Struthio camelus: one gene and its partners. The protein of the gene in region 1 purifies or fractionates together with the protein of each later gene. This does not show direct contact. Links are inferred from orthologs where the notes say so. Each region holds a gene or a part of one and is shown in the gene's direction. Other genes may lie near its edges.

Region 1 (7,283 bases):
CCGGCTCCGCCTCAGCCCCCGCGCCGCAGCGGCACCGTCGGCCGGGCCGGGCCGAGCCGAGCCGAGGCGGGCTGGGCTCCCCACTGCCTCCGCTCCCCAGCTCGGCTCGGCCCCGCAGCCCCTTCCCCCCCCCCCCCCACCCGCCGCCGCCTCTTTGTTCGCTGCCCTGCCGGCACGTTCACTGGGGCCAGGGCGGGCGGGAGGGCGGGCGGGGCCGGCCGCGCCCCCCGGCTGAGGAGAGGGCCCGGCCGAGCCGGCCAGACAACGGCCCCGCTGCGGCGTGGCACCCACTTACCACGTTACAAAGCCCCAGCCCTCGGCGGGGAGCGCATCGCAGGCGGCCCCGCTCTCCCCTGCCCACCCCACCCCACCCTTCCGTACCCTATCCCTACCCCTCCCCGCCAGCGCCGCGCCGCGCCCCCTCCCCTCCCCGCCAACCGCCGCCAACCGCCCCCGGCGCGGGGCCGCCGCCGCTTTCGCGCCACGAGCCGCGGGGGCCGGCGCGCGGGGCCAATGGGCGGGCGCGCGGCGCCGCGCGCACCCGCCCGGCAGCCAGTGGCGCCCGCTCCGAGGCGGCGGGCGGCGCTGGTAGGCGCAGGCCGCAGCCAATGGGAGCCGGCGCCGCGCCACGCCCCGCGCCGCTTACTACGAGTTACTATGGCCGCCCGCGGCTCCGCGCGCGGGGCGGCACCGCGCCCCCGGGGCCGGCGGCTCCCCGCCACCGCCGCGCAGCGGGCCGAGCCGGGCCGGGCCGGGCCGCGGCCGGAGGGGGCCGCCCGCAGCGGGGACGGGCAGGGCGGGAACGCGGCTGTGCCTTGCGTGGCCGCTCCGCTAGGAGCGGCGGCTCCGCGCCCGCGGTGCCAGCAGGGGCGGCGGCGGCTGCCCGCGGGCGGCGAGGCCGGGGCGGGCCAGGCCGGGGCGGGCGGCGTGGGCGGGGGAGGGGCGGCCTCAGCGCTCCGCGGCGGCGCGGCCCCGGGCACGCGGGGGGCGGCGGGCCGAGGCTCGGGGGCTGCCCGCGAGGCCCGCGCGCGGCGGCCGTTAGGCCCCAGGGCAACATGGAGGCGCCAACGGCCCGTGCGCGGCGCGCGGCGGCGGCGGCGCCTGGCCGGGGTCCGGGGGCCGCCGGCCTCGTTGGCCGCGGCCGCCGCCGAGCTCCCAACGCGTAACGCCAAAACTGCGCCGAGGAGCGCGGTTCTGCCCTGGGAGGAAACGCGCTTGTTGGCACCACCCGTGACAGAGCCTGCCATTGGCAACCATGGTTCCCAAAGAGGACGTTGGATGGTAAATAGAAACACAGCGGATAATGCCTCGAGTTATTATCCCGAAAAAAACCCGATAGGAGTTGGGATTTTTTTTTTTTTAATTTTTTAATTTTTTTGCCTTGGCGGGGGGGAAGCGGGAGGCGGTTCACGGTGCGCCAATGGACGGGGAAAAAGATGCGGATGGCTATGATTGAGCTTTGCAGACTTTCATAGAGAACGTAGGAGGAGAAAGCACATGTTGGAGTCCTAGTGCTCATGGCAGCCTGCTCTAAAAACTGCTGATCCTGCTAATGAAGGATGAGTTTTGCTGCCGTATTTAGAATATTTATGTAAATATTTGAACTTCTGGTTGGTTTATGTGGATGATAAATATAAACATTTTAAATATGGAGAAAGATTAGAAGTTTTATAAAGCTTTTTCTTACAGAAGAGGCTTGAAAAATGCATTAATATGAGAATGTGCTGGTGTATACTGACGTATTTAATTTGTGACTGCCAAAATAAATTACATATCAAATTGTAAAACTGTATTCCCAAAAATGTTATGATTTGGGTGTGCCAAGCTGATCTGAACTATGTTTATGTACATAGGGAAGCAGAGATTTTTCAGACACCATGAGCAAGTTTTTGTTGTTGATTTGCCTTTTTTGGCATTCAAGATTTGGATTTACTCTTGAAACCACTAACCAACCCACACTTCTTGACAAACAAAGCTATGCATTATGTAGCTTTACAGAAAATGTTTCAGCTTATTAGCAAGATGTTCTCAGAGTATCAGAAGAAAGGGATTGCTAATAAACAGGGTTTTTTTCTATTATTTGGTTATCAAGCATTTTATGATGTTATTGGACAAGTGGTATGTAGTGTTATTACGAATTCTCAGTCTTCACTTCTTTAAAAAATAATTTCCAACAAAACAAGTATATAAACTAGAAAATTAAATTTATATGCACTCTCTTTAACAGTTTTAAGAGGAAATACCAGATAACACCATAGACCCACTATGTAGAAATAAGCACATGCAGATTGACTTTAATTCAGGACAAATGAAATTTGTAAAGAATGCAATTAATCTACAAGAACAGTGACAATTTCCTCTCACAAGTTTCACTAAGAATTCAGTAGTTTGGAGGGGACTGTTTTTGACTTGCACAATTTTTTTAATCCAGATTACACAGGATGAGATAATGAAATATGAATTCTTTTAAGAAAAATGCCACATCCAGAATGGAAGGGTTGTAGATGGGTTAATACTGGAGAAAAAAAAAAAATCCTCTATCCCCAAGATAATTTTTTGCATTCTCTACAAAATGGAAGTTGTGCTTAAATTCTGAGGAGTGGAGCACAAAATGTTCACTTTTTCAATTACAAGCTGACAAAAGTTCATAAAAATGACACTGAGATTAAACAACGAGTTGAAATTATGAATGTTTATTTCTTGGTAAGCAAAGTATGAGGATGCACACAATAAAAGGGCTGTATTCCTAAGTTACTGAAACATTAATCCATTTCGTGATAATTTCACAAGGGTTTCAGGCTACAGTCCTCATGGTAAGAAATGTCTCCTTGCATCACACCACCATAAGCTAAATCTTCAGCTTCTTACTATCTTTACTGAGTCCTTTCGGAACCATGCGTAACACTATATTCTAACTGCAGCGTCCAAAGTACAGATAACAAAAGAAGGTCAATAGCACAGTTCCCAAGGTAAGTTAATTCCCTCCTCTTTAATGGTATAGTTTATAGAAGTTAGGCACGAAAGTATGAGGCATTTCTGTTTACTACAGATTTCCACACATACTACAGTACATGTGGAAATTCATTCACTGTTAACTAATAAAAGTATTTAACTATTTTCCATGGAATACCTCTTAAAACGCACCACAAAAAGTCTACCACGGAACAAATGCAACCTTCAGCTAAAGGCAGCGTTGAATTATTAAACAAAACCTACTAGATCGCTATATTAAATACAGTGCTGGCTTTCATTTCCGTATCCTTTCTTCATCTTCAGGCAACATTTTGTTTGCCCTGGAAAGGCTCCACACCCCCAGACCCCTCCCCCACAAGCCCACCATTGTATCCTTACAAATGTGGAGAATTATGAATGGTTCCTTAAACCGGGCCGGGGGGAGGGGGGGAAGGCGGGGGATCGCCAAATCCCTTTGTGTGCCGTTACCATCCTAGGGCAACGGTGCCTTCGCCTCCTCGCCGCCGCCATCCACCATTAACTCGATTAAAGGCAAGCGCGGCCCCCCCCGCCCCGCCCGCCCGCCCCCTTCCCTTCCCCCCGCCGCGCCCCGCGCAAGGCCCGCCGGCGCGCTGCAGGCACGGTACCGTGCGGGGCTCCCTCCGCCCTCGGCAGACCCTCGACCCCCCCCCCCCCGCCCGCGCGGACCCCCGCCCCCCCCACCCCTCCCACCCCGCGGCGCGGCCCCGCCGGCAGCCCCCCAGCCCGGCACCGCGGGGGCGGCGCGGCGCGGAGCAGCGCGGCCGGGGGCGGGCACTGCGGTGCCTTTTCCCCTCCCTCCCTGGGCCGAGCGCCGGCGGCGCGGGGGAGGCGCGGCAGATTTGGGGGGGCGGGGGGCGGTGCCGCCGCGCAGGGTCCCCCCCTCTCCCCCGGCGGAGGGCAGAGGCTGGCGCTGCGCTGCGCGGTGCGGGTGGGGGTGCAGCGCCGGGCGGGCCCCGCTCCCCTCGGTCCCGCCCTCCAGCCCCCACCGGCCCTCGCTAAACTTGTCCCGTCCTGCCTGGCCTCCCTCCCCCCGTCCTTCACCCCGTCCCTCCTCCTCCTCCTCCTCCTCCTCCTGCTCCTCCTGTGTGCGCGCGCCCCATCTACTCGCTAATTGAAGAGCTGGGATTCCTCACGTGAGAAGTTGATTTGTAGTTTGAACACGTGGCTCATTCAAAAAGCCGGAATATTCAAGTAATTTTTTTTTTCCTCTCTCCCTCCCTCCCCTTCTCTGTGTGTGTGTGTTTTTTTTTTTTTTCATATTGAGAGGCGGCGCCTGCACGCACGTAGTGTGACATTTTCATAGTCCGCCTGCTGCTGCCAAAGGGGCTTGGGGGCAAGACAAAAAAAGTAGTTTTTTCCCTCCCCTCCTCCTTTTCCTCTCCTCAGCCCGCCATCCTCGGCCCCGGCGCTGGGTGTTTCCCCCGCGCCCCCCATGCGCCCGGGTAACACGGCAGACACTTAGGGCTCCCATTTGGTCACATCTTTTTTTTTTTTTTTTTTTTTTACCCCTTGAGAGAGGGAGGGAGGGACCCAAGCTACAGCTCTGATTTTTTTTTCCTGTCCTCTCTCTCTCTCTCTCTCTCCTTCCTCCATCGCATTTTGTTTTATTTCCCCCTTCCTCCCCACCTCCTTTTGCAAGACGAGGGTTGTAAGCCGCCGGACGCGTGTCTCCGAGCCGCCAGGAAGATGAATAAGCTCTACATCGGCAACCTCGGCGAGAACGTCAGCCCCCTCGACCTGGAAAGTCTCTTTAAGGACTCCAAGATCCCCTTCTCGGGCCAGTTCCTGGTGAAGACGGGGTACGCCTTCGTCGACTGCCCCGACGAGAGCTGGGCGATGAAGGCCATAGAGGCACTTTCAGGTGAGCGGCCTCGACGGCCCCCGCCGCTCCGCGGCCGCGTAGCTGCAGCCGCGGGCGGCGGGGCCGGCGCTCCCTGCCTCCCCCCCCCCCCCACCCGCCCCGGCCCCGCGGCCAGGTGAGGCGCGGGCTGCCCCCTTCCCACGCGCGGGATGGCCTTCCCGCGGGGGCTGCGCGGCCATCGCGCCCCCGCGGCAGCCTGGGCCCAGCAGCCGGGCCCCCGCCGCGCCGCCCGTGTTTTTCCACTCGCCACGGCAAAGCCCGTCCGGCCGGGGGCCCGCGCGGCGTGGGCTTCCCCGGCCGGGGGCAGCGGGGCGCTGCGCGGCGCAGCGGCCACACACACACGCCCCGCGGCCCCTGCCGCCCCCACGAGCGGGCTGGGGCGCTCCGCGGGATGGCGCAGGCCGCGTTTCTCCCCCCCGCAGGGGTGGGGGCGAGCTGCGCAATTGCCCCGAACTTGAGGGGGGGGGAATAGCCCTGCCTGCCCCCCCCCCCCGCCCTACCGTGCTATTTATTTCGGTTTCTCTTTGCTGCTCTCACGCACCCATCACCGCCTCCAGCAGCGCGCCGGCTCCTGGCCCCGACATCCTGTTTTTGTGTGCTTTTTTTTTTCCTAAAGAAAAAAAACGGCAGGTTTTGCGCGTGAAGCGGGCTTTGCGGCGCTCCGCTGGGAGAGGCTCCCCTGGAAAAGACAGCTTTGGTGTGCGTGTGGTGTTTTTTTTCCCCTCATTATTTATTTTGCATTTTTTGCTTTCGCCGCCCTCCCACCGCCTTGCGGAGAATCGCCCCAAGTTGGAGGCCCGGCGGCCGGGGCCGGCTGCGCGGGGCGGCGCGGAGCGGAGGGCGGCGGGCTCCGCTGGCCGCCCGGCCGGGCCGGGCCGGACCGGGCCGGACCGGGCTCGCCGGGGCTCGGCCCGGCGTCGCACGGAGCGTTTCCCAGGTGGCTGTCGAGGCCGGGGCCGGGAGGCAGGCAGGGCCCCGCCGGGCGCAGCCGCCGCCGGCGAGCGCGGCCGCGGGCCGGGCTTTGTTACCTCCGCGGGGCCGCTCGGCCGCTGCCCGCGCCGCTAATGAATGGGCTGAAACGTGTTGCACGCGGATTTCCTGCGCTGCACCGCCGCGGAGCCGGGCGGGCGGATGGGGACGCACGGCCGCGCTGAAATATTCCCCCCCTCTGCTTATCTCGGCAGGTAAAGTGGAACTGCATGGGAAACTCATAGAAGTTGAACATTCAGTCCCTAAAAGACAAAGGTAAATTTTTTTTTTTTTGCCTTCCCTCTCCTTGCCCTCAGTTAGTTATCCAGGCAGAAGCAATTTAAAAAATGCTTAGGTTCGTGTTTCTCTTCCGTATAGAGAGATTGGGCTGCTTTCTTCAACCCACAAATGTGCTCTCTGTGCTATCCTAGAGGTTTTCCAGAATCACCCTATGTATTCCTAATGTACTATATTGGCCAGGCTACAGGGGAAGTAAATCTATATAAATATACATATACTTTTTTTTTTTTTTTTTTAAGAAAAAAGCCCTTTTTTTTAGCAGAAGCGGGTTATGGCGAGATGGCAAGTGATTGTTAAGATTTTAAAATTTAAAGTTCCTGAGAAGAGTTAAAATCTGGGCGTTAGCAGGAAATGAAATGTGGTGTTTTGAACTGTATAACGGGCAAGCACATGAGCTTCGCTCCAGCAACAAAAAGCATCTTGTAAATACACTGGTATACATATTTTTGATCCTGCCATGTTGGAGTCTGCAGCGTTTTATAGGCATATAGCATAACTCTCATCTGTATTTGAGAGGATTTTTCATCATTATTTTGAGCTGGAATATAGAAGCAGAAGGAGAATGACTCCATCCCAATAAGGACAGGATTTATGCATCCTTAATTTCGAAATGTATGTTTAATTTTTACGAAGTAGTAATTTTGTGGGCCTCATTTAAAGAAGCAATACTTGCAAGACAGCAGGGTAGTATTTTTAAACTGCCTACAGCAATTCAGTCTGCCTTTTTCACAAATGTTTAGATTATAGAAAAGCTGGAGTGCACTAGAGAGTAATAGCAAAATAGATCAAACTTTCCACGTGCTTGTTCCTGCCCTCCATTATTCAATCTGGGAAGTATGTCTGTCTGTACAACTTTATTAGCAGGGGCTCCTACTATTTCCTAGTTATTTTTAAAAGCACAGTCTATCTAAAATAATTGATTTGAAAAGCTGTTTTGTTGGGAATTAAATCTTGGTATTTTGAGAATTAGAAGTTTAAGGTTTATTTAGTGTTGAAGGAAGGCTTCGTTTGAGGAAAACATGGAGACTTTTTTATGGTCTAGATTTAGCAATTGGACCTCTCTGGACCAATTCTTAGCATGTTAATCTTTATAGTTATATTTATTTGATACTTTGCACGAGAAATTAATACATTATATGCCCTATTCTTTATTATACAT
Region 2 (6,829 bases), on another chromosome or scaffold:
GAGCAGAGCAACAGATAGTGACATCTCTTTCAGATGCTGAAGTTTCCTTCATTGGATGGTGCTCTTGTAGGCGTTTCTGCATTCCACGCTGAGGAACAATATCCAAGCAGCAGTGCGCCAAGTGAATCAAGTCCCCCCGTCATCTACAAGGCATTTTATCTGCATACCAGCTTCCAGTCTAGTGTTTCCCTCCTAGTTACTGATGGAATTTTTGGTTTGGGTTTTCCTCTGTGCACTTGCATATCAAACAACAGCAATATTTTATAGCTAGAGTAGCAAATGAACACAGAAAGGAACTGCTAATTTTACTTGAGACTAAAAGTTGTCACTGGAACATTAGATTTCCATATTCTGTTTTTAAATTGCCTTGGAATGAAAGCAACTTGCTATTTAGATGTGTGGCCTATACACTTCCAGACTAGGACTAAATTAGGACCTTACAGCTCTAAGGTAATCATCTGCTACAACTGCTACTGCTTCCTGAAATTATTAGCTCAATACTGAGGTCTTAAAGTACTTACTGTTAAATTAACACGGTAATCTATTTTTAACCGACTAAAATAGGCTAGGGTTGTTTCTAACGTATTTTTAGGAGACCCTTCCCCATGAAACAAAGGTAACACATACAACTGTTTGTCACTTTCTACTCACTGAATTCATGGCACAGTTGCTCATTTAATTTCAGGGAGAAAACTCCCTTCTTTTCCAAAGAGAAAGCCTGTACAGTCTTCCCCTTCCACCCCAATCCCTAAATTTATTCCTACTATCAGCATTTTACACTCAGCTGTCTGTGACTATGAAGTCCCCACAATAGGGAATATGTCCTCCTGTTCTTGCGTCCCAGGCTTAGGACAGCTGGCTTCTGCTAGACCAAGATGGGATCCTCAGCCATACAAGTGCATTCTATCTCCAGAGTTACACATAAGGTCAGCTATACTAAAACATTATGAAACAAGCAAACCAGCTTTCCACGTATCTGCTGTAATTCTGAATATATTTTAGTGGACCACGTAACCTTTTTTCTGTGAGAGCTTTTGGGTTCTTCTTCTCCCCCCATCAGCTGAAGAATTAACACACATTTAGATTGAAATGCATAATCGAAACTAAACACTGCAAGTGAAGTGAGATAACTTGCTCTTTCCTTAAATTTTTCGACTTACGTGTTACTACATAAAAGGAAAAGATGGAAAAAAAAACACTAACAGCAATACTTGGATATCAAGTCAAAATAAAGCATTTTAATTGTCTAAATCACGGCTTCCTCCTCCATCTACACGGAGGCACCAAAACCAATATATTTGTCAAAAAGATTTGCTATCACAAAAATCATACCAAAACAGGCTTCAGTGAAACAATTTTATTCATTGATAACTACATTTCCATAATGACAGAAAGGTAAGCCATAATCACCCCCAGTCCTCAGGGAGCTACACAGGCTTTTGGATGTGGCAAACGTCTCAATCTAATAAAGAGAAGGCACAGGACACGTACTTCTCATTTCCGCAAAACTAAACAAACACACACTTGCAATTCATCCTTCACCTGCACTGCATTCTCCCTCTTGGAGAAAGACGCCCCTACTAACCAATTGCCTTCTCTCCAGCATGAGCTTCCCTGAAGGACTCCCAAGCCCCAGCTTTCTCTGAAACTACAACTTCCAGGGTGCTTTGCTGTGACACTAGACTTGTACTGAAACCTTAAAGCTGACCACACATTTTCTTTTCCGCTGGTAGATGGAATAAAGCAGTGTAAGACAGCCTGGCCTTCCCTGTATGGCTATCAGCTGGCATGGGGAGCAGAAGATTTCGAGCTTGCTGGGCAGCAGGAATATCATTTGCTGAGGTCTGCTCACCTGGTAACAAAAGCCAGGCAGGATGTTTTATAGCAAACAGGGTTGTGTCAGCAGTTTCCCGGGCCAAAGCAGGAAAAGGCTGATGTGCATTAGCAGGACACATCTAATGCTGGCCTAGCTCTGCTCTTCCCACCCAGTGCAGTGCTGCAGGTTGCACTGGGGTGAGAGGGGCTGATCTGCAAGGCCTTTGCCATTACAAACTATTTGCTCACTTCCTCGCGGTAATTTGGCTTTACAAAATTTAGCTGTAACCAGGCCTTCGCTTTTTGCCTATATCCAAGAGTGGAATCAAAAGGACAAACGTAACTCTTATAACACGTGTGATTATAAAACAGGGCCATAAGGCAGCTCCTGCATTATTTGCATCTGTCCTAGTTTGTGACTTTCTGGGATGCTCTCTCATACTAAATTGCCCAATAACAGCAAAAGAGAAGGGGGGAAGAAAAAAAAAAGTATGCATTTCTCAAGAAAAGGGCCTTGGATACCACAATGGTTAAGAAAGGTCTGCTGAAACCTTAAAACAAATAGGACACCAAAACCAAAAGTGAAGGGAAGAAAAAAATAGTTACTTCAGATAATATACATGACCTGTAACAGCAAATAAGTAACACCTTAAGACAAAGGCAGTTTTGTTCCAGAAAACGCTTCGCCTGACACAGACTTCGGGGATTGCTGGGCGGCTTCTTTTCCTAGGATGCTTCTTTGTTGCAACCTTTACACATGCCCCCACAGAGTCCATACCATTTCCATTACTGAATACAAGTTACAGGTGGTGATTGTAACAGCTCTTGGGAAAATTGTACCTCCTGCCCTTGCCAGGGAGGATGGTTTAAAGTACTTTCTGAGGCCAGTGGCAAGCAGAAAAGACTTAACTCATCAAAAATGCTGAAGCTGGGCAACAGGCACCAAAAATCAAGGGTCTCCTTCTAAAAGACTGAAATTTTGATTGCCAAGCTCCTTACATCCAGAGCTTCAGTGAAAGAGGTGATTTGCTCCCAGAGTAGGTGTTGGCTGTGCCCTGGCACACACCCTCAAGTCTAGCTTGTCTTACCTTGGGAAGGAGGTACTGCAGAGGTAACTGTGTTTGCTGCTGGCCTACTGAGTTGATATTTGAATATTTGAACCTCAGAACTATTAGCTATTTTTTTAGTATACCTCAAATACACATACTGAAAAAGGGCTTCCTCAATTTTGCTGAGAAATCCTGAACTAAGCAAGCTATGAACAGGGGAAAGCTTCGCATGGGACACTGCTTTTAGTCCAACTTCATTTGCATCCTCTTATTTATTAGGTGGCTGGAGAGTCCTGCCAAATGCAAAACACTGCACCATTTAGCTGAAATCAGCCTCCAAAAAGAGAAAGGGGCCAACGGTGAAAACACCGGCGTGAACATAGCGAGCCTGACTGCCAACAAGCCCGCGCGCTGCTTAGCCGCACTGACACCAAGGACGCCCCCACCTCGACTCCACCACACTCGACAGCGCAGTAAGCACCTGCTGGAGAAACACACCCTTCTGATATTACTGCAAAACAGAAAAAAACGTAAGTCAAGCAGTACAAAGAACTCCTATAGCAAAGCCGCAGCAGCTGAGGAAAAGGCACCTCAGCGGCACTCGGGCGAACCATCGCTCGCCCCACCGCCTTCTCTGCCGCCCAAGAAGCCGGAAAGCGGTTGCCCCCGCGGGGGGCTGCGCGCCCCGAGCCCCGCCGCCCGTTGGGCCGCTAACGGTCGGCGCGCGCCCCGCCCACCTCCGTTCCGCCCCCGCGGGCTCGGCGGGAAGCCGGCGCCCCCCCCCCCCCGAACGTCACCGCGGCAAGCCACACGGGATTGGCGGAGAGCGCCCGAAAGGGGTTCCTGCCTGCTCACGCAGGGGCAAGACAGTACGGCCGGCGCGGCGGCGCATGCGCGCCCGCTCTCCTCCCCCTCCCTTCGCTTTTGCCCCCTCCCCTCTGCGCACGCGCGCGCACGCGCGCACGCACGGCCGCACGCGCGCACGGCCGCACGCACAGGCAGGCGCGCACGGGAGCCCCGGCCGCCCCTCCCCCGCCCGGCCGTGACATCGCTGCTGCTGCCGCCGCCGCCGCCGCCGCCGCGCCCCGATCGCCCCGTCCTTCCCCCCTCCCCCCGGCTGCGGCACCCGCCCGCGGACAGGCTCGCCGCGCCCGACACCGATCAGGTCCCGGGGGGGGTCGTGCCCCCGCCCCACACACCGAGACTTTTTCCCTGGGTGAGTGAGGGGCGAGCGGGGAGGTAGGCCCGGCGGCCGTTTAACGGTCGCGGCCGTTTAACGGTCGCGGCCCGCGCGCGCGCGCGCGGGGTCGGGGGGGAGGAAAGCGGCGCGGCGGGGCCCGGCTTCGCCCGGCGAGAGCCCTTCCCTGCCTCGGTGCGGCCCCGGCCCCGGCCCCGGGCCCGGCCGGCGGCGGCGGCGGCTCCCGGCCCGCCTCGTCGCCCGGTGCGCGGCGGGGGCGGCGGAGCGGGGCGCGGGGGGAGGCTTTTGTTCGCCGTCACCTTGGCGGTGCGTCGCCTCGGCGGCGCTCCCCCTTCCGCCTCGCCCCGGGCGCTGGCGGGAGGCGGGAGGAAAAAGCGCCCCCTCGGCCGCCGCTCCCAGGCGTGACGCCCCGGGCCCTGCGTTGCTTCGTGCTCTGCTGCAGCGTTCGTCCCTTTCATCCCTTCCCGTCGCTCGATTCGTGCGCTGCCTTCCGTGAGCCCCTAGAGGTATGTGGACTCCGGCGTGTACAGGATGCTGTTTCCCAGCCTCGTCTGTACTGCAGAAGCGACCTTAGTTTTTTATCCTCAGCTCACTGGGCTGCCCCTTTCCTTTTAGGGTTTGGTTCTGTGATAGCGTCACTGGCTTTAAAACCTTTTCCAGCCCAGGTCTTGCTAATTCCATGGACCGTGCCATTCTGTGCTCCCTTTTGCTCCAATCACACCCCGAGCTTTTCTGTTCTCACTCATAACATGGCTGAAGTTGCAAGCATCTTTTATTCTGCAGATCTAGATACCCTGAGCAGCCCTTTTGTGAGCGTCTCTTATTTCACGTCTGAGGTGAATATGGTATTCTCTGGCATTTCCTTCCCTTAATCCTGGATGGGTAAAGTAAAAGTCATTACAGTTCCAGAGTGGGTACATAGGAACGTCCTCTAGCATGAGTATTTTAACTTCCCTGGTTAGCTGAGTAACGCTTAGGATCTTGAGCGCTGTGCCAAGCACTGCTGCATGAAGGAAAGAACACTCTGTGGGATGAGAGAAGATGAGATTGTTGCTTGATCTGAAGCTAGACCGACTGACTCCAACCTGCAAGGTTTTTGATTGTAGCCTTCCATGTGGGTTTGGCAGTTCTTGAGCCCTCATTATATATTAGGCATTTCAAGTTCAGTGTACAAGCGTTCCTCTTCATTACAACAGGAAGTGTAAAGATACTAAAGCTAGTTTTCATCTCTTGAGAAACAGGATAAATTATTTTGTTCTTAGCGCAGTACTTGTGCAAGTCCACTACTTCTTATACTCAAGCTTCATATTTAAAGCCAGATCAGTGTCTTTGATCTGTAATTGGGTGGACCAGTAAAAAGAGAAAGACAACTTGTCATAGTAGGATGTTTGGGGCAAACATCCTACTAAAGCACTCACTGTTGCCTGAGGTATATCTTCTTTTCCTTTTTCTTGTTTCTTTTATTGCCAGTTTTAACTGGGGAGCACTAGTAAAGTAAGATCAGCTTGGTAGAAATGGTTACTCTGCAATTTAGGCTGCACTGTCCTACTCGATGGCCTGTAGGAGACTTAAAATGAAGTAATAGCAAGCAAGCACTACTCTGTATATCCAAGTCCCTGCGAGTAGCATAGTTGTGTTACCTCAGCTTGGTGAGTAGGTAAAGGGTTTGTCAACCTCCATTCTTAGCCAAGAAGGTGTTGTTACTGGCAACTTTTGCTTCTGGAGTTAATTTGTAATTAGCAAGACGTTCTCTGTTCATTCTGAACATAAGTACGCCTGCAGGGCCATATCTGCCTCTGGAAAGCTTTTTCATTCTTTAGGAAACATCCTTCTTCTGAACCTATTCCGGAAACTATTAGCTTGGGTTTAAGAAGTGTAATCCTTGTTTCCTGTTTTAAGTGTTCTTGTAATGTTCTAAGTGGTAGATGTGGGCTCACTGTATGGAATTATGATCCGTATCGTATGACTATTTTTCACAAGTAGAGTAAAATGTCTTCTATGATAGCTAACTTACTGGAGAGGGAAGTTACTGACCTTTCAACCCACTGATCCGCTGGTGTCCTTATAGGTAAACTGTTTGTATGGAGTTGAGATTTCAAATTTTACACCTGCTGTCACACTGGAAGTGTCTTACCGTGCTGAAAATATGCTGAGGAAACACAGTATCTTAACGCAGGCGGTTTTGAACTTCTTCACTTTTACTGTAGCGTTTGTGACACTGGATGTCATTTCTTTTGAGAGTATTGGACAAATGAAGAATTGCATCCCAACTCAAGGAGCACGTGAAAAGACTTAATATATCAGACTAAAATATATCTATCTGATGAACTGTCAGAAGAAGGACACTGACCCTGGCTTTGGCTGGTAACCACCAGGGAGAGAGTTGCAGTAGCTACCACAAAATGTGGTGCCACTGAGGACAGTGGCCATTGTTATTCAGGTGGGCGTTAGCTGTTCTGGATGATGCAGTTTAACTGCCCAGAAGATGGTCCTTTGTAGTAGTCCTGTGCCTACACTATGTGGTGCCATTCAGCTTCTCTCAAAAACAACAAAAAACACAACTGCTTGATTTGAAAGAACTGTATGTTGCACCCTGGGGCTCAGCCAATTCAGATTTTATTGGATTAGGCAAAGTAGTTCCTAAAGTAAAGGGATTCTCTTAGATTATACTGGTTTGCTAGCATTCACTGCTGATGGAGGATGATCTGAGCACTTGCATAGCGTGAAAGAGAGGAGATAGTTTCAGTTGCTTGGGATTTGAAATTAC
Region 3 (7,923 bases), on another chromosome or scaffold:
GCGACAGCAGGTTGTCCAGGATGTTGCCGCCGCTCTCCCTGCGGGCGGGCAGGGGGTGAGCGCCCGGCGGTCCGCCCGGCGGCCCCTTCGCCCGGCCCCGGCGGGAGGCGGCGGCGGCACCTGTTGAACTTGCGGATCTGGACCTTGATCTGGTTGAAGTCGGGGCGCTCCAGCGCGTCCTCGGCCCAGCAGTGCTGCATGAGCTGGCCCAGCTCCTCGGCGTGGCAGCCCACGCCGGCCGACGGGCGGAAGCTGGGGCGCTCGCCGCTCTTCACCCGCTCGACGATCTCTGCGGGGGCCGGCGCGGGGCCGTCAGCCCCAGCGCTGCCCCCCGGCCCCCCCCGCGCCCCCCGGCCCCGGCGCCCACCCTTGGGGCTCAGGTCCAGCCCCTCCACGTAGAAGACGCCGTTGCGCAGGGCGATCTCTTGCAGGATGATGCCGAAGCTGTAGACGTCGCCCTTCTGCGTGCCCCGCGCCGGCGGCGCCTCCATCCGCAGCAGCTCCGGCGCCGTCCACAGCTTCTCTGCGGCACCGGGCGGCGGCGTCACGCACCCCCCGGGCGGGCGCCGGGGGTCAGGGCGAGCGGGACCCCCCGACGCGGGTGCTGGGGGTGACCAGGGGCCCCCCCAATGTTGGTGTTGGGGGTCAGGGCGAGCGGGACCCCCCGACGCGGGTGCTGGGGGTGACCAGGGACCCCCCCCAATGTTGGTGTTGGGGGTCTGGGCAAGTGGGACCACCCAACACAGGTGCTGGGGGTGACCAGGGGCCCCCCCAATGTTGGTGTTGGGGGTCTGGGCGAGCGGTACCACCCAACACAGGTGCTGGGGGTGACCATGGACCCCCCCCCCAGTGTTGGTGTTGGGGGTCTGGGCGAGCGGGACCACCCGACGCAGGTGCTGGGGGTGACCAGGGACCCCCCCCAATGTTGGTGTTGGGGGTCTGGGCGAGTGGGACCACCCGACGCGGGTGCTGGGGGTGACCAGGGGCCCCCCCAATGTTGGTGTTGGGGGTCTGGGTGAGGGGGACCACCCGATGCAGGTGCTGGGGGTGACCAGGGGCCCCCCCAATGTTGGTGTTGGGGGTCTGGGCGAGCGGGACCACCCGATGCAGGTGCTGGGGGTGACCATGGACCCCCCCAATGTTGGTGTTGGGGGTCTGGGTGAGGGGGACCACCCGACGCAGGTGCTGGGGGCGACCAGGGACCCCCCCAGTTTTGGTGTTGGGGGTCTGGGTGAGGGGGACCACCTGACGCGGGTGCTGGGGGTGACCATGGACCCCCCTCAGTGTTGGAGGTCTGGGTGAGGGGCACCCCCCGATGCAGGTCCTGGGGGGCGACCAGGGACCCCCCCAATGTTGGTGCTCGAGGTCTGGGTGAGCAGCACCCCTGCAGGGCAGGTGCTGGGGGTCCGGGCGAGCGGGACCCCCCCCGGGGCGGGGGCTCACTGGCGAAGAGCGCGTGGGAGTCCTCGCTGTCGGGGGCCACGCGGAAGCTCTCCAGCCCGTAGTCGGTGATCTTCAGCACGAAGCGGCTGTCCACCACGCAGTTGGACGACTTGAGGTTTCCGTGGGACACGATGACGCCGTTGTGCAGGAACTGCATCCCCTGGTGGGGCCGAGAGCGGCTCAGCGCCCGCCCGGGGGGCCGCGGGCGCCCGGCGGGGGGCCGGCTCCTTACCTTGACGATGTCGTGGGTCAGGGAGTAGCGGAACATCCAGTCCAGCGTGATGCTCTCGTTCTCCAGGATGTCCTGGGGACGCGGGGGGTGACACCGCCGGCCCCGGCCCCCCGCTCTGCAAAGAGCCTCCCCGCGGGGCCAGGGGAGTCCCCCCAGGGGAGCCCCCCGCCCGCAGCCCCGACGCCGGGTGACGGGCGCCCGCCCCGGTACCTGCAGGCTCCCGCGCGGGCAGTACTCGGTGAGGATGCAGATGTTGGGGGGGTCGGTGCAGGCGCCGACGAAGCGGGTCAGGTGCTCGTTTTGGACGTCCCGCATCTGAGGGCGGAGGCGGCGCGTGGGGCTCTGCCCCGCGCTGGGGACCCCCCCCACCCCGCTCCCCCTCCCCACGGCCCTGCCATCAGCCTGCGCCCGGAGCAAGGGACCCAGGAGTCCCGGCCCCCCAAAAGAGGCGGCGAGCCGGCGTGCACCTACGTGTTTCAGCTCGAACAGGACCTTGCGCGTCAGCTCGATCCGCTTGCGGTTGAGGTGCTTCACGGCCACGAGGTTGCCCTGGGCGGGGGGACGCGGGGCGGTGGGTGCCCGGCGGGTGCCCGCCGCCCGCTCCCGCGCCGCCCCCCCTCCCCGGCCCCACACCTTGTAATAGGCCGTCTTGGCGTAGACCTGGAACTGCCCCTCGGCGGTCAGGAGCGAGCCGTAGTTGGAGCCCCGCTGCGGGAAGCGAGCGCGGGTGAGCCCGGGGCCGGCCCCATGCCCCGCGCCCCGCGCCGGCCCCGGGGCGCCCGCCCGGCTCTCACCAGCGACAGGGTGAGCTTGCTGCCGGCGCTGCGCAGGTGCTTCTCCAGGCTGCTCATCTGCACGTCCTCCCAGCGGACCCGCCACAGCTCGGCCGCCAGCTCCTTCTCCAGCTGCAGCTTCCTGCGCCGGCAGGGCAGGGTGAGGCCCCGCGGGCACCCCGGGGCCCGCGGCACCGTCCCCCTCCCGCACCCCCGGCGCCGCTCCGCGCCCCGCACCTGTAGATGAAGAAGGAGGTGACGGTGATGGCCAGGAGGATCAGGCTGACCACGAGGGACAGGATCTCCAGGGTGGACAGATTGGCTGCAAAGGAAGAGGGGAGCGGTGAGGGGCTGCACCGGGCACGGTGCCCACCGGCTTGGGCAGACCCCAGTGGCGCAGCACCCAGTGGCACAGCACCCCATGGTGCAGGAACCATGGTGTAGGACCCTGGTGGTGCAGCACCACACGGCGCAGCACCCTGTGGTGCAGGACCTTGGTGGTACAGGACCTTGGTGGCACAGCACCCCATGGCGCAGCACCCCATGGTGCAGGATCCTGGTGGTGCAGCACCCCATGGTGCAGCACCCCATGGTGTAGGATCCTGGTGGTGCAGCACCCCACGGTGCAGCACCCCACAGCGCAGCACCCCACAATGCAAGACCCTAGTGGCGCAGCACCCCACGGCACAGCACCCCATGGTGCAGGATCCCAGCAGCACGGCACCCCACGGCGCGACACCCCACGGCGCGGCACCCCGGCGCCCGGGCTCACCTTTGCGGCACAGCGGGTTGCTGTTGTCGAAGCCGCAGGGCGGCACGTCGGGCGGCACCACGTGTCCCGGCCAGAGGATCTCCCGCCCCGGCACCATGTGGATCTTCTTGGTGGTGCCGTTGTAGTTGGCCACGATCTGCCGCGGGGGGGGAGAGAGGCGGTGGCAGACGGGTCCCCGGTGGCCCCGGGGGGACCGGGCGCCCCGTGCCGGGGCCGGGCTCACCTGGAAGTCGCCCCGCGCGGGGTCCATGTCCCACAGGGAGTAGTCGCTCTCCCGGTCCCCGTTCTCGTCGATCTTCAGGAAGCCGGTGACGCCTGGGGACGGAGCCGTGAGGGACGCGGGGGGACGCGCAGGGACGCTGGCGCCAGCGCTCCCAGGGCTGTAAATCTCCATCCCGGCGGCTCCGATCCCAAAATATCAGCCTGGGAGCGGGGCAGGCAGGCGCCGGGCAGGCGGCACCCAGCCCTGCCGGGGCCGCGATGGGGCTGGGATGAGGATGGGGACGGGGACGGGCGCCCACCATAGAAGGTGCGGTTCCACATCTGGCGGGTGATGGCGGTGGCGTTGGTGATGGAGCCGCCCCGCTCCAGCGTCTCGTTCACGGCCTGGGCGTAGAGCAGCACCCCGTCGTGGAAGGCTGCTGCGATGTAGTTCATCTGGGGACATGGAGACGGCTCAGACGGGGTCCTTGTCCCCTCCATCCCCAGCTCCATCCCATGTCCCCTCCATCCCCAGCTCCATCCCTCGTCCCCTCCATCCCTCGTCGCCTCCATCCCCAGCTCCATCCCATGTCCCCTCGTCCCCTCCATCCCCAGCTCCATCCCACATCCCCTCCATCCCTCGTCGCCTTCATCCCCAGCTCCATCCCATGTCCCCTCGTCCCCTCCATCCCCAGCTCCATCCCGCATCCCCTCATCCCCTCCATCCCCAGCTCCATCCCTCGTCCCCTCCATCCCTCGTCGCCTCCATCCCCAGCTCCATCCCATGTCCCCTCATCCCCTCCATCCCCAGCTCCATCCCGCATCCCCTCATCCCCTCCATCCCCAGCTCCATCCCTCGTCCCCTCGATCCCCAGCTCCATCCCTCGTCCCTTCCATCCCTCGTCGCCTTCATCCCCAGCTCCCTCCCGCGTCCCCTCGTCCCCTCCATCCCCAGCTCCCTCCCGCGTCCCCTCGTCCCCTCCATCCCCAGCTCCCTCCCGCGTCCCCTCGTCCCCTCCATCCCCAGCTCCACCCTGGCCCTACCAAGCCATCGTGCATGGTGAAGTTGAAGTGGGTGCGCGCCTCCTCCTTGAGCCGCGCCAGGAAGGGCCGGTACTCGGGGTTTTCGGGCTCCTTGTAGGTGATGATGGTCACGGCCTGGGGGGACAGCGGCTGGGAGCGGAGGGGACGGGGACCCTGCCCCAGCCACCCTGCCCCAGCCACCCTGCACGGCCCCTCCGGGACGGGTTCCCCGCGCCCCGGGGTCCGGGGAAGCCTGGCTTTCCGCCCTGCCTATTAATAGCCTCCGTTCAAGGCAGGGCCAGAGCTGGGACCTGGGGAAATTAATCTCGTTTCCTTCCTCCTCGTTAGCTGCCAGGCGCGGGGAGCGAACGGGTAGGGCTGGCGGGGGAGGCCGGGCTGCTCCGCCGGCTCCAGCGCCCACCCCGACTCCGCGCCAGGCCCCGCTTGCTGCAGCCAGGAGGCAGGGCTTGTGCAGGGGAGAAGAGGGCGCGCAGGTGGGTGTGCGTGCCTGGGAGCGCACGGGTGCATGTGTGCAGGCGGGTGTGCATGCCTCGGTACCCGTGTGCACACAGGTGTGCATGCCTGTGAGCGTGCGGTTGCATGCCTCGGTACCCGTGTGCATGCCTGTGAATGCACGGTTGCATGCCTTGGTGCACGTGTCCCTGCAGGTGTGCATGCCTGCGGGTGCGCAGGTGCGTGCAAGGGCACACGTATGCATGCTTGTGAGCAGGCGGGCGCACGCACGGGCACACGCGTGCGCGCGGGGCTCACCTCGAAGGCCTGCCGGGCGCTGGCGTCGTCGCGGTCGCCGCGCTTCCAGGGCCGCTGGGGCTCGGGGAAGCGGGCGCCCTGCAGGCTGGCCCCGAAGATGTCGATGTAGAAGAAGGCGTAGTCGCCGCGCGTGAGCCCCTCGCGCCAGGCCTGCAGCATCAGCTCCCGCAGCGTGTCCGGGGCGCAGCACACGTAGACGACTGCGCGGGGCGACACGGCTCATGGCGGCGGCCCCCCGACGCCGAGTCGGGCCGCGACCCCTCGCGGGAAGCCGCAGACCTCGGCCGAGCCCGGGGCAGGATTTACGGCCCTGCCCGGCGCCGGCAGCGCGGGAGCAGCGGGGACGGCTCCGGAGCGTCCCCCCTCCGCGGGGCAGCCGGACCCTCCCGGCCCCATCCCGGCCCCATGCCGGCCGGGGCACCCAGGGCCGAGCCCGGCCTCCGGGGGGTCCCCGCGTCCCGCGGCTCCGTGCGATGCGGGAGGGAATGAGCGCCGGGGCCGGGCCGCGGACCCCCGGGCGCAGCGGGGCGTGAGGGGGCCCCGATCCCGCTCCGGCGCCCCACGTGCCGCCGCCGGACCCCTGCCCTCCGCCAGCGCCCGGCCTTCCTGTTTTCCCGACTCCGTTTCCTCCTCCGCTCGCCGGCGGGGACGTATCCCGGCGGTGCCGGCTGCCCGCGCTCTGCCGGGGCGGCGGGGCGGGATGGGGCCGGGGCGGCCGCTCGCAGGTGCCAGGCGGCCCCCGCTCGGCCCCGGCGGCGTCGGGGCGCCCCGACGGCTCCGGCCCCGCAGCCCGGGGCGGGGGGGCCGGGCCAGGCGGTGCCCCGGGAAAACGGCCGGAAAGAGGGAAGTGCCCCGGCCCCGAGGCCGCGATAACGGGCGGCGGGCGGCGCTCCAGGCCTGGCCGGCGCCCAGCGCCTGGCCGGCGGGGCCGGCGGCCGGTGCCAGCCCGCGACGGGGCGGCCGCGGCGGGCGGTGCGGAGCCCCCGCGGGTGCCCGGCGCGGCGGGCTCGGGAGGCGCGTGCGCCCCCACGGACGCGCTCGGCCCCGGGGCTCCGTCCCCGCCCGCCGCCCGCCCCCGGCGCTCTTACTGCGGCCCTTCTGCTTGATCTCCTGGATGATGAAGGAGTAGTTGCCCTTGTCGCAGAAGACCACGTCCAGGACGGTGAGGTTGCGGAGCGTGGGCAGCTGGACGTAGAGCCCCTCGGCGGCGAAGAAGCAGGGCCGGTCGTCCATCTTCTCGTCCCAGTAGACGAGGAGGGCGCGGCGGGTCCAGTTGAAGCGGCGGTGCAGCTGGACGCCCAGCTCGCCCAGCTTGCGGTGGCTGGGGCCGGCGCGGGTGGTGAGCCCGAACTGCTCCCGCTTGTCGTCGAAGCCGTGGGCCTCGGCGCCCGCCGTCACCAGCGGCAGCCGCCAGTGGCTGGTGAAGCGGGCCACGGGCGCCGCCGTGTACACGCAGCCCGGCCCCACGAAGGCGGCGGGCTGGTGGGCCAGCCGCAGGTCCACGGCGGCCAGCGGCGCGGCCATCTCGGAGCAGACGCCGTGGCGGTCCTCGCTGCTGCCGAAGACCCAGCGCAGCGTGTAGCCGGGCAGCAGGTCGGCGCGGGCGTTGACGGCGGCGGCGGCCAGGCGCACGGCCGGCCCCACGCGCGGCCAGGCCCACGCGTAGGTCAGGTTGCGCTCGGGCAGCACCACCGCCAGCGTGAGCGCGGCGCCGCGGCCGGCCGCCACCAGCGCGCTGAGCACGGCCAGCGCCGCCAGCATGGCCCGCGCCGTCGTGTCGCGTCGGGTCGGGTCGCGCCGCCGCCGCCGCCCGCGGCTCTGGCACCGCGGCCCCGGCTGCGCCTTTCCTCCCCCCGCTCGGCGACAAGGGGCGGTTATCGTCCGCCGCGCTTAACCCCTTCCTGCCCGCCGCCCCCGCCGCCGCCGCCCCGACGGGCTCCCCCGGGCTCCCCCGGGCTCCGGCCCCGCCGCTCCCCGCCGCGGGCGCCGCGCCGCCAGCCCACGAGCCCACGGGGAGGCTGCGCCGCGCCGGCCGCGTCCCGCCCGGGCTGAGACCGCACAAACTCGCGGCATGCGCGGGCAGGGCGGGGAGCGCCCCGCCTCCGCCGGCTGCTGGCGCCGTCCCGCCGCCCCCCGACCCCCGCCCGGCCCGGCCCGCGGGGTCCCAGCACCACCCAGCGGCTGCGCCTCCCCGCGGGGCGCCCAGCACGGGGGATCCCCCCCCCCCCGCACCCCACGGCCCTGGGGACGCGCGCGGCGTGTCCTGCCGCCGCCCCGCGTGCACCGCGGACGCGCGCGGCGCCTCCCACCGGCCCCGCCGGGACACGCGCGGGGCCCCCGCGAGCCTGCCCAGCCCCTCCGGGCGCCCACGGCGGCTGCGGGCCGCGGGGCAGCGCCGCGCCCCCACCCGCGTCCGCGTCCCCGCGCCGCCCCCCGCCCGCTGCTGCGGCCAGCCGCAGCGGTGCCGGGCGGGCGTCCTGCTGGGGGACAAACAGCAGCTGTGGGCAGAGGAGCCCCAGAGCTGGTGGCAGCAATTAATGATATTAATTAAGGGGCTAATAAAGAAAGAGCCCCGCGGCGGGGGGGATAAAAAAAGAGGTAGCGGGGACATGACCAAAACAGCTAGCAGAGGATGGTTTCGATCCATCGACCTCTGGGTTATGGGCCCAGCACGCTTCCGCTGCGCCACTCTGCTCTCTGCCGCCAAG
Region 4 (7,843 bases), on another chromosome or scaffold:
GTAAACGTACCCTAGGATGCTGAACGGCTCTTGTCACATATGTTCCTGGAAGACGATGGTTCTGAGGCAAACTTCCTGTTTCAGGAATATTTCCAGTTTCCTCAGGTTCCTTCTCACTCCCTACACCCCCCCAAATCTGCTTAAATACAGAAGGTTTGACACTTGCTCGTTCTTGAAGCTGTTCGTATATATTTGCAAAATTCAATTTGTTCAGTCAGTATGAGCAACAGTAACTCACTTCCAGGTAGAACTGTTGTTTCATATCCTGAAAGATTAAAATAATTATACAGAATTACGGAGAAAATTTTAGGTCCTGACGCTGTTTTTGTGAAGTCCGTGAAGCCGCTGTCTTCATTGAATGTGGAACTGAGTCCTTATAGTGACAAAACACACTTCAAAGACCTGAAATTATGCGTGTGTATACTGCTGTTGCCATTTAAACCAGCATTAATAAATCATCATCCCATGAACTTTTTTCTCAAATTTATGTAGCAGATTGTCAATAAGCTTTTCCTCTATGCACTGTAGTGATTAGATAATTACTTTAATTTTGGTTTGTAAAATTCAGTTCTGTCTCAAGATTTTTCTTTACCATTATAAACATTATGGATGTGGTGTAAGTTTTGAACTCAAAAGATATTAAAGAGCAGTCTCAACCCACATAAATTACAAATGTAAGGAGCTGATGCTATGTTGAGTATGATAAAGCATAACACAGATACAAAGTCATGTAGCTCAGCTGATTCTCTGAACCACTGGACATGAATTATTGCAGCTGTTTGGAGTAATCACTGAAAAACCGTGCTTGACTAGCTTTCTAAATGTTGTAAAAATGTATGTCCTCTTGTTTATGGTTAACTGAATTGGGGTATTTTTTCTTTTGTGTTGTTTCTCTCTCTCTCTCTCTCCTTCTCTCTCTCTCTTTTTTTTTTTTTTTTTTTTAAACTTTTAAGTGGCTAAAGAGCCAGGGAAATTCGATCTGGTTTACCAGTCTGCAGATGGAGCTGAGCTGATAGAGTACGCTGTTTCTCAGGATACAAAGGTACGTGACTGTCTTGTTTTGAAGACTGTAGTGATTTTTCACATTAATGATATGTTCCCTGATTTATGATGCTGTTCATTTCAGGGAGATTTCTTTTATAGTGCATCTGATGAAAATACGTAAAAACAAAAGTAATTGCTCCTTTCTAGTGAGAGTGCATATGATTACAAGGTAACAATCACTTCTTCCGTGTTGTTCAAAAAGCAGTCATCAAATTGTGTAACTTTTTGTTTTGGTTAATAAAATAAATAATAATATGTCTAGAGTATCAGTTCATACAGGCTTACTCACTTGATGTACTGGGTAAGGAAAGACGCAGGTAAGAAAATAATACAACATGAGATTTGAGAGTCATTAGGAAGATCCCTAAATCACAGAAAGAGTCTGTGATCTTTGTTTAGTAGTGCTGCTGTTCAAGTCCAGACAAAGCATAACGCAGAAGAAATTCCCATCTACCTATGTAGCTTATACATGCTAAGTATTTTCTGTATTTTTCTTTCAGATAACTGAAAGTTGGGATGCATTGATAGAGCCGAGACTGATCGTTGAGCCTCCAGTTGATGGATTGAGCACTGAAAATGGAAAAATCTAAGATATGAATAAATGTAAATAACTGTATGGACTGTTCCGTGAAGCGCTACCTTCTAGTTCTGAAGACAGCAGATCCACTGGTGGATATTTTTAATGAATGATTTTTAAATGAAATTATGCCAAAAGAAAAATAAATACTTTGTTTTTTTCCCTTAGGACATGTTTTTATTTAATATAGGAGTGCTTTGTTTAATATAGGAAATATTTTTTTTATTGAAGCTTAGTAACAATTTTTATGTCCTACGGTTCTGAGTTGCAAAATTGGAACAATTTGCTCAAAGAGATACAGTAAGACTCTCTGGTACTGTCAGTAGCTCCGCTTTGTCTGGCCGAACTAGAGTAGTATAACTGGAATACAGAGGTAACTCGCTGTGAGGATAATTTAAAACAGCATTAAAAATTAAATTGAAGTATTACTGATAGACACTTTCTTTTCCTCCACAGCTACAGGGCACGATAAAAATGCTGTGACTTTGTAGTTGTATAAAGGGTTCATTTGAACACGTCAAGAAAAGATTTATTGATATTAAGCTTCTGTAATTTTGAGAGCCGATAAATAGTATTGGTAAGTGAGAACTTTATCTAGAACCAGTGGAACATAACATGAGTCCCGGGCAAAATTATGTCCCAGTGTATTAATGTGTGTAGGCTCTGAAACTTTTCAGCAAACCCTTTTGCTGTTTCAGTGCTGAAGTGTCTGTCCCGACTCTCTTCTTTCCTTCCTAATACCAGAATGGGTCACCAGGTGGTGGCAGTGCGTTTCACTGACATCTTTGGTCACTATTGGCATCCAGGTAGTAGGTAGAACTCCTACCCGAGAGATACTGTGCTTTGCCAATATGTAATCTTAGTTTAAGTTGATCCTTGTTCCAGATAATTGACTCTAAAGCAGAAGATAGGAAAAAATATCTGGATACAAACTCCTGAAAAATTGTACATTATTGTTTAACTAAAATATATTGTCTGGCTAATGCATGGTTATATTAAAATATGATATACCTTTGCATTATTCCTGTTAAAATGTCTTGTTCATGAAAATTACTTATATATGAGTAAAACTTTAATTTCCATGCTGCATTTCTCTTCAGTTGCCATTATTTTATGTTAAAAATTGATTTTAAAGCAATTGACAGTTGGATTCATGTATGGATGGTCTTGCAAACTGGACAAAAAGTAAATCCCAGCCATTTCAGCACAATCCAAGACAGGATTAATAGATCAAAGTTGTGGTTTTTTGTTTTATTTTGTTTTTTTTTTTAAATGAGAATGAGAAATGAAAAATGTATTGTAAAATTGCAAACATTAAATGCAAATCTTCTGTAGCATTTTAGAGGAGGTCTCATCTCTTGCTCCATTGCCTACAGTGCATTTTGGCTACAGATTTAAGATCTGAAGTCCCTCTGGCTTCTAGGATCGGATCATGGTTGAAAACAAATTACGGCAGAGAGAGAATGTTTTGAAGATAAAACCTTGAGTTTTATTTGTTCGCTGCTACCAAGTTAGTGTGAAACTGTACTGTTTCAACGCACAGTTTAAATCACATGCAGTCTGTGACAGCGAAGGCTGACTGTCCTTCCTGTCACACCACTGTCCTCCTCTGAGAGAGCCACACAACAGGATCCTCCTACCTGGGGAGCTGGGGCAGGGCTTGGCAGTGGTTAATGGGTGAGAAATGCAGCATAGGACTGGACGTGCATGTGTATCCCAGAGAGAGCCAGTGATGCTCTGCACAAACCTTTCATGCTTTCTTCTTTCTGTCCCTGGGGTTTTGGGCTCCTTTGCAGGCCTCTCTACTGGCACAGTCCCAGCTATCATGTGAGATGCTTGGCCACCCTCTTGTGTGCAATTTAGTGTTATGGGTTTGTTTGTTTAAAAAAATTCTATCTTAAATTTTGGATAAGTAGAACAGTTCTTCTGTACTCACAGTTTCGTTATGTCATGCCTTTCTCTTCATTTGTGTGATAGTGATCATACTAATCTGATGACTCAAAAGGTATGTGCATGTTTGAGCTAGCAAGCTAAAGTCAAACAAACTGGGCAGGACACTGCAGATATGATGAGCACCTGCAGCTAGAGGCTGGCAGCCAACAGCTATGGAAGAGACCTGGAGTTTCCTGCTGTGACTACAGACCTTTCAAAAACACATCAAGTGTCAGCTCCATAGGAAATTGGGGATATTTATAATTGTGATGTGTGAAATCACAATTGTCTAAACCATTTAAACCCAAAGACATGGTAGAGGGCATGAGAATAGCTGTCTGATGTTTGCTCAGTCGGGTGTACAAAAGAAGTTTGTTCTGCTCTGCTTATGACTTCATGCTCAAAGTTTGAATGCAGTTTCAATACACGATATCTGGGCAAAGGGTCCGATTTAACCGGGAAGCATATGAAGAAAGTCTCAAGTGATAGCAAGGAAGTAAAGAGAGTAATAACTTTGATAGTTAAGTGGTAAAATTCTTCAGTAATTTTTAATGCTAAACATTGTTTTTAGACAACAGGAGTGGTAGGTGCTTATTCAAAATAGAATTTTAAGTCCCCTTTGACAAAGATGAACTTAAATTGCTCATTTGAGCTCTAAATGTCCCATAAGCATGTTCTGCTCCATAAACAAAAAACTGTAAAGGTATATATTTACCTTCCTGCTTTATATGCATTAGCAGATATCAGGTGAATGCTGCTGAAAATAAAAGTGAAGGTGCAAAGTATTTGAAAGTTGACAGTGGCTTAACCTAGATAAGCCCAGGAAAAAGTGCATCTTCCACCTACAGAAAAATAAGAAATGTGAATATTAACAGCTGCTCTTTAGTCCCAGCTCTGGTAACATACAGCACAATACATCTCTGTAACAATGTTTCTTCTACAATCACTGTCAACTACCCATTTCTCAGGTATCTTCAGGTGTTTGTTAGCATTCCCTCTGACAAAGGTTTCACGGTCCTCATTTAGATAGCCCAGCCACGAGTGGAGCCATGCCACCGCCCCTAGAAACCCTTCCACCCTTGAGCAAATTACAGAGGCAGTCCCTGAACTGGTGCTCCCCTCCGCCAAAGCCCTGAATGCCTTCTGTTGCCCCTTCTGCCTCTAAATCACTAAGCAGTGAGTCAGAGTCCGTGACTGAGGGCGGCTGCCCTGGCCCCGGGCAGCACCGGCTGCCGAGCCACCTCGCCCGTGGGGCCGGGCCTGGACGGGGCCCCACGTGATTTCCCGGAAAGTGCCGCTGCGAGTTTCGTTTACCCCGCGGCGGCTCAGGGCAGCAGGGAGATGGCGGCGCTGACCCACACCTCGGCCGAGCCGGCGCTGTCCGTGCTGGAGGATGAGCTGACCTGCTCCATCTGCCTCTGCCTCTTCAGCAGCCCCGTGACGGTGCCCTGCGGGCACAACTTCTGCGCCTCTTGCCTGGAGCTCACCTGGGCCGAGCCGACGCAGGCCTTCAGCTGCCCGCAGTGCCGGGCCAGCTTCGCTGGCCGCCCGACGCTGCGCAAGAACACGGTGCTGTGCCGCGTGGTGGAGCAGCTCCAGGGCAGCTGCACCAAGGCCAAGGCCGAAGTGGAGGCTGATGGGGAGGTGGCAGGCTACGGCGCGGCCGCGGGCCCCGTCCCCTGCGACAGCTGCCTGCAGGCACCTGCCGCCAAGACCTGCCTCACCTGCATGGCCTCCTTCTGCCTGGAGCACCTGCGGCCCCACCAGGACAGCCCGGCCTTCTGCGACCACCAGCTGTGCCCGCCCCTGCAGGATCTGCAGCAGAGGAAGTGCAGGGACCACAACAGGCTCCTGGAGTTCTTCTGCAGGGAGCATGCCACCTGCATCTGCTCCACCTGCCTCCTCAGCCACAAGCTGTGTCACAGCAGCCCCCTGCAGCAGGCCAAAGAGAAGGCCGAGGTGAGTGAGCGGGGCGGGTGCAGGGCCTCATCCCAGTGTGCCCTGATCCACGATGTTGGCATGCCCTGAAATACAGAGAGGGTCATCGCGGTGCTTCCCTTTGCTCCCCTGGAGCCCAGCAGGTCTCCATGCACTGCGGGTCATGGGCTGCAAAGAAAGAGTGCTGGGGTAGCCTGGACCAAGACCTGCCTTATAAATTTTGTATCTGGTCTTGCCAAATTATTATCTGCCTTCCAATGTGTGCTGTGAGTGTGTCTTAAGAGTCGTTTCTCGCACTTTTCCCCTCTCTCCAAGATTGGACTAGTGGCCTTTAGGGACTTGGGTTTGGGAAGATGCTATCGCAGAGTTGACGGACAGACTCAGATGTGCAGTTGTACTGAATGGCAAGTGCTCTCGTCTGTGTGCTCTGGAGAGCACCAGGGGCTGTTGTGGTTGGCAGCAGGGGTTACGTGACTGAACTGTGTATTGTGTGCAGGCATTAACGTGTAACTCAGCGCCTGCTCCGAGTGAGTGTTTTACTCACTACACAGGCTTTGCTGTGTGGCCTTACCACAGGCTTACTGCGTGACTGTCGACACGCGCTGTTCCACGCTGTTCTTACCAAGTGAAGAATTATAAAAGTAGCCGGGGGAGCTCTAGTACATGCTGAACAAAACCAGGAGCTGGCGGTGGTGGTGGCAGCAGCGTTCTCTGTGGAGTGGAAGGGAAGGAAACCCAGCCCTGATATCTTACAGCATTGCTGAAAGTCAGGGGGGGGGGAGGAGAGGAGTAAAGCACACTTGAAAAATCTAAACTAGAGGCACTGAGTTTAGGTGCACAAACTCCCATCCCTCCAGCTGGTGTGTACAACCTAAGCGTGTTAACCTAAGATGTCCTCCCTGATTTTGCTTAGCAGCATCCTGAATTAAAGGAATAGATAATTTACATTTGAGTGATAAAACTCTCTATTAAAGAGAGAGGTAAAAGGTAGCATTAACCTGTAGCCCAAAGTCCAACCTAAGGTAAAGTTCATTCTTAGCACTGACAACTGCTGTGCTGATAGAAGTATTTAGTCCTTATCAAAAGAATGAGCCAACACCATAGGCCTTGCTATTTGGAGAGTGTGGCGATGTGGGAAGAGTGCTTGCTTCACAAACTACACACAAACAGAATATTTTCGTGTCCTGTGAGGTTAAAGGAACAGCATGTTTTAAATCTGTAGTACTTAATACTTACACAGTGGTTAGTTAAAACTTTCTATAAATTTGATTTTCACTCCAAAAAGCATGACCTGACCAAGAACACGCACAGCCGCTGCTTCACTGAAATATCTTCTGATCTTTTCTATTGCAGTCAGCGCTGAAGAAGAGACTGACAGAGCTGCATCATCAGAGCGAAAGCGCTGCTCGAGCAATGAACGTTGTGAAGACAAACCAAAGCCAAGCTGCTGTAAGTGGGCAACTCTTTCTATTCAAAATGCTACCCAGTTGTTGTGGATACTAGTACCCTTGTGACAACGGCTCTAGTATTCATATTGCAGTGTCAGGAGGACTCTGTGTTGGGAAGGAACAGAAAATAGCCCTTTTGGCAGTCAGGCAGCTCTGTGGCAGATGGGAGCAAACCCAACTAGCTGTACAAGAGCTTTATGCTCACAGGCCCATGCCATAGCAGGGCTTGAACCCATCAATTTTTGTTGCACTGGAAAGTGTGCATCTGTGCAGCTCAAGCTAAAGGACTGGTGAACTGGAATGGCTGCACCAGTAAAGAGATTTGGGATGGCTCTTTCCCCTAAATTTACACAGATAGTCTCTCTTACTTGAGCAGAAATCCTTGCTCTTGCATGATGATTGGGGTTGTTGTATGTGATGACTGCCTCACTTGTACCATCCTTTCTGAATTGAGTTGTGGAGACCAAGAAACTGAAAAGCTGCCAGGGTAGCACATCTGTGCTCCTCTGGGATGTCTCTTGGAGGACCAGGAAGAACTCTGTGTCAAGCAGGACTGTCTCAAACCACGTCCATGAGGCAGAAATAACTGCAGTTACGCAAGTGGGTGTGTGGTGTCTACGCTCCAGACTGGCAGAACCTAGTTCCAGTTTGCTGGTGATTTCTAACCACTAGATGGCACGGCTTGCCTGGCTTGTGTCCAGGAGCCCTTGCGAAATAGGAATGTGGAGACGGAGAACTGTCTTTGCTTAGGAGTAAATGAGCTTTCCTTCCAAACTACACAGAAATACATAGCTCTTCTATCACCTACTTCAGGTAACTGAAGTCTACATGTTCCTCAAAGACTTGGTTTTCTCTTGTAGTTGTAGTACTTCTTTGCCCACAAATTGTTCTTTTGAAACTAGCA

Evidence for each region.
Region 2: the proteins of IGF2BP3 (region 1) and G3BP2 purify together in Homo sapiens (affinity purification with mass spectrometry; 3 studies listed by BioGRID and IntAct, with this or other methods). This does not show direct contact. The link is inferred for Struthio camelus from reciprocal best matches to the Homo sapiens genes IGF2BP3 and G3BP2.
Region 3: the proteins of IGF2BP3 (region 1) and ILF2 purify together in Homo sapiens (affinity purification with mass spectrometry; 3 studies listed by BioGRID and IntAct, counting the BioPlex papers as one, with this or other methods). This does not show direct contact. The link is inferred for Struthio camelus from reciprocal best matches to the Homo sapiens genes IGF2BP3 and ILF2.
Region 4: the proteins of IGF2BP3 (region 1) and TRIM25 purify together in Homo sapiens (affinity purification with western blotting; 3 studies listed by BioGRID, with this or other methods). This does not show direct contact. The link is inferred for Struthio camelus from reciprocal best matches to the Homo sapiens genes IGF2BP3 and TRIM25.

Annotation. Positions count from the first base shown.
Region 1 is NC_090943.1:37,522,370-37,529,652, reverse strand, and holds the start of IGF2BP3 (insulin-like growth factor 2 mRNA-binding protein 3), read left to right. Parts: upstream 1-4,277; 5' UTR 4,278-4,426; coding exon 4,427-4,436; intron 4,437-4,633; coding exon 4,634-4,855; intron 4,856-6,039; coding exon 6,040-6,100; intron 6,101-7,283. UniProt on the Homo sapiens protein: RNA-binding factor that may recruit target transcripts to cytoplasmic protein-RNA complexes (mRNPs). This transcript 'caging' into mRNPs allows mRNA transport and transient storage.
Region 2 is NC_090945.1:8,180,540-8,187,368, forward strand, and holds the start of G3BP2 (ras GTPase-activating protein-binding protein 2), read left to right. Parts: upstream 1-3,812; 5' UTR 3,813-4,080; intron 4,081-4,445; exon of another isoform or gene 4,446-4,568; intron 4,569-6,829.
Region 3 is NC_090971.1:4,679,823-4,687,745, forward strand, and holds the start of ILF2 (interleukin enhancer-binding factor 2), read left to right. Parts: upstream 1-4,913; 5' UTR 4,914-4,938; intron 4,939-5,215; coding exon of another isoform or gene 5,216-5,415; intron 5,416-6,303; coding exon of another isoform or gene 6,304-6,976; exon of another isoform or gene 6,977-7,029; intron 7,030-7,838; exon of another isoform or gene 7,839-7,910; intron 7,911-7,923. Other genes in the region: NPR1 (atrial natriuretic peptide receptor 1), read right to left, coding at 1-38, 121-289, 368-523, 1,444-1,603, 1,676-1,747, 1,886-1,990, 2,147-2,224, 2,309-2,383 and 8 more. UniProt on the Homo sapiens protein: Chromatin-interacting protein that forms a stable heterodimer with interleukin enhancer-binding factor 3/ILF3 and plays a role in several biological processes including transcription, innate immunity or cell growth.
Region 4 is NC_090960.1:5,481,081-5,488,923, forward strand, and holds the start of TRIM25 (E3 ubiquitin/ISG15 ligase TRIM25), read left to right. Parts: upstream 1-4,834; 5' UTR 4,835-4,894; coding exon 4,895-5,512; intron 5,513-6,844; coding exon 6,845-6,940; intron 6,941-7,843. Other genes in the region: COIL (coilin), read left to right, coding at 954-1,042, 1,545-1,634.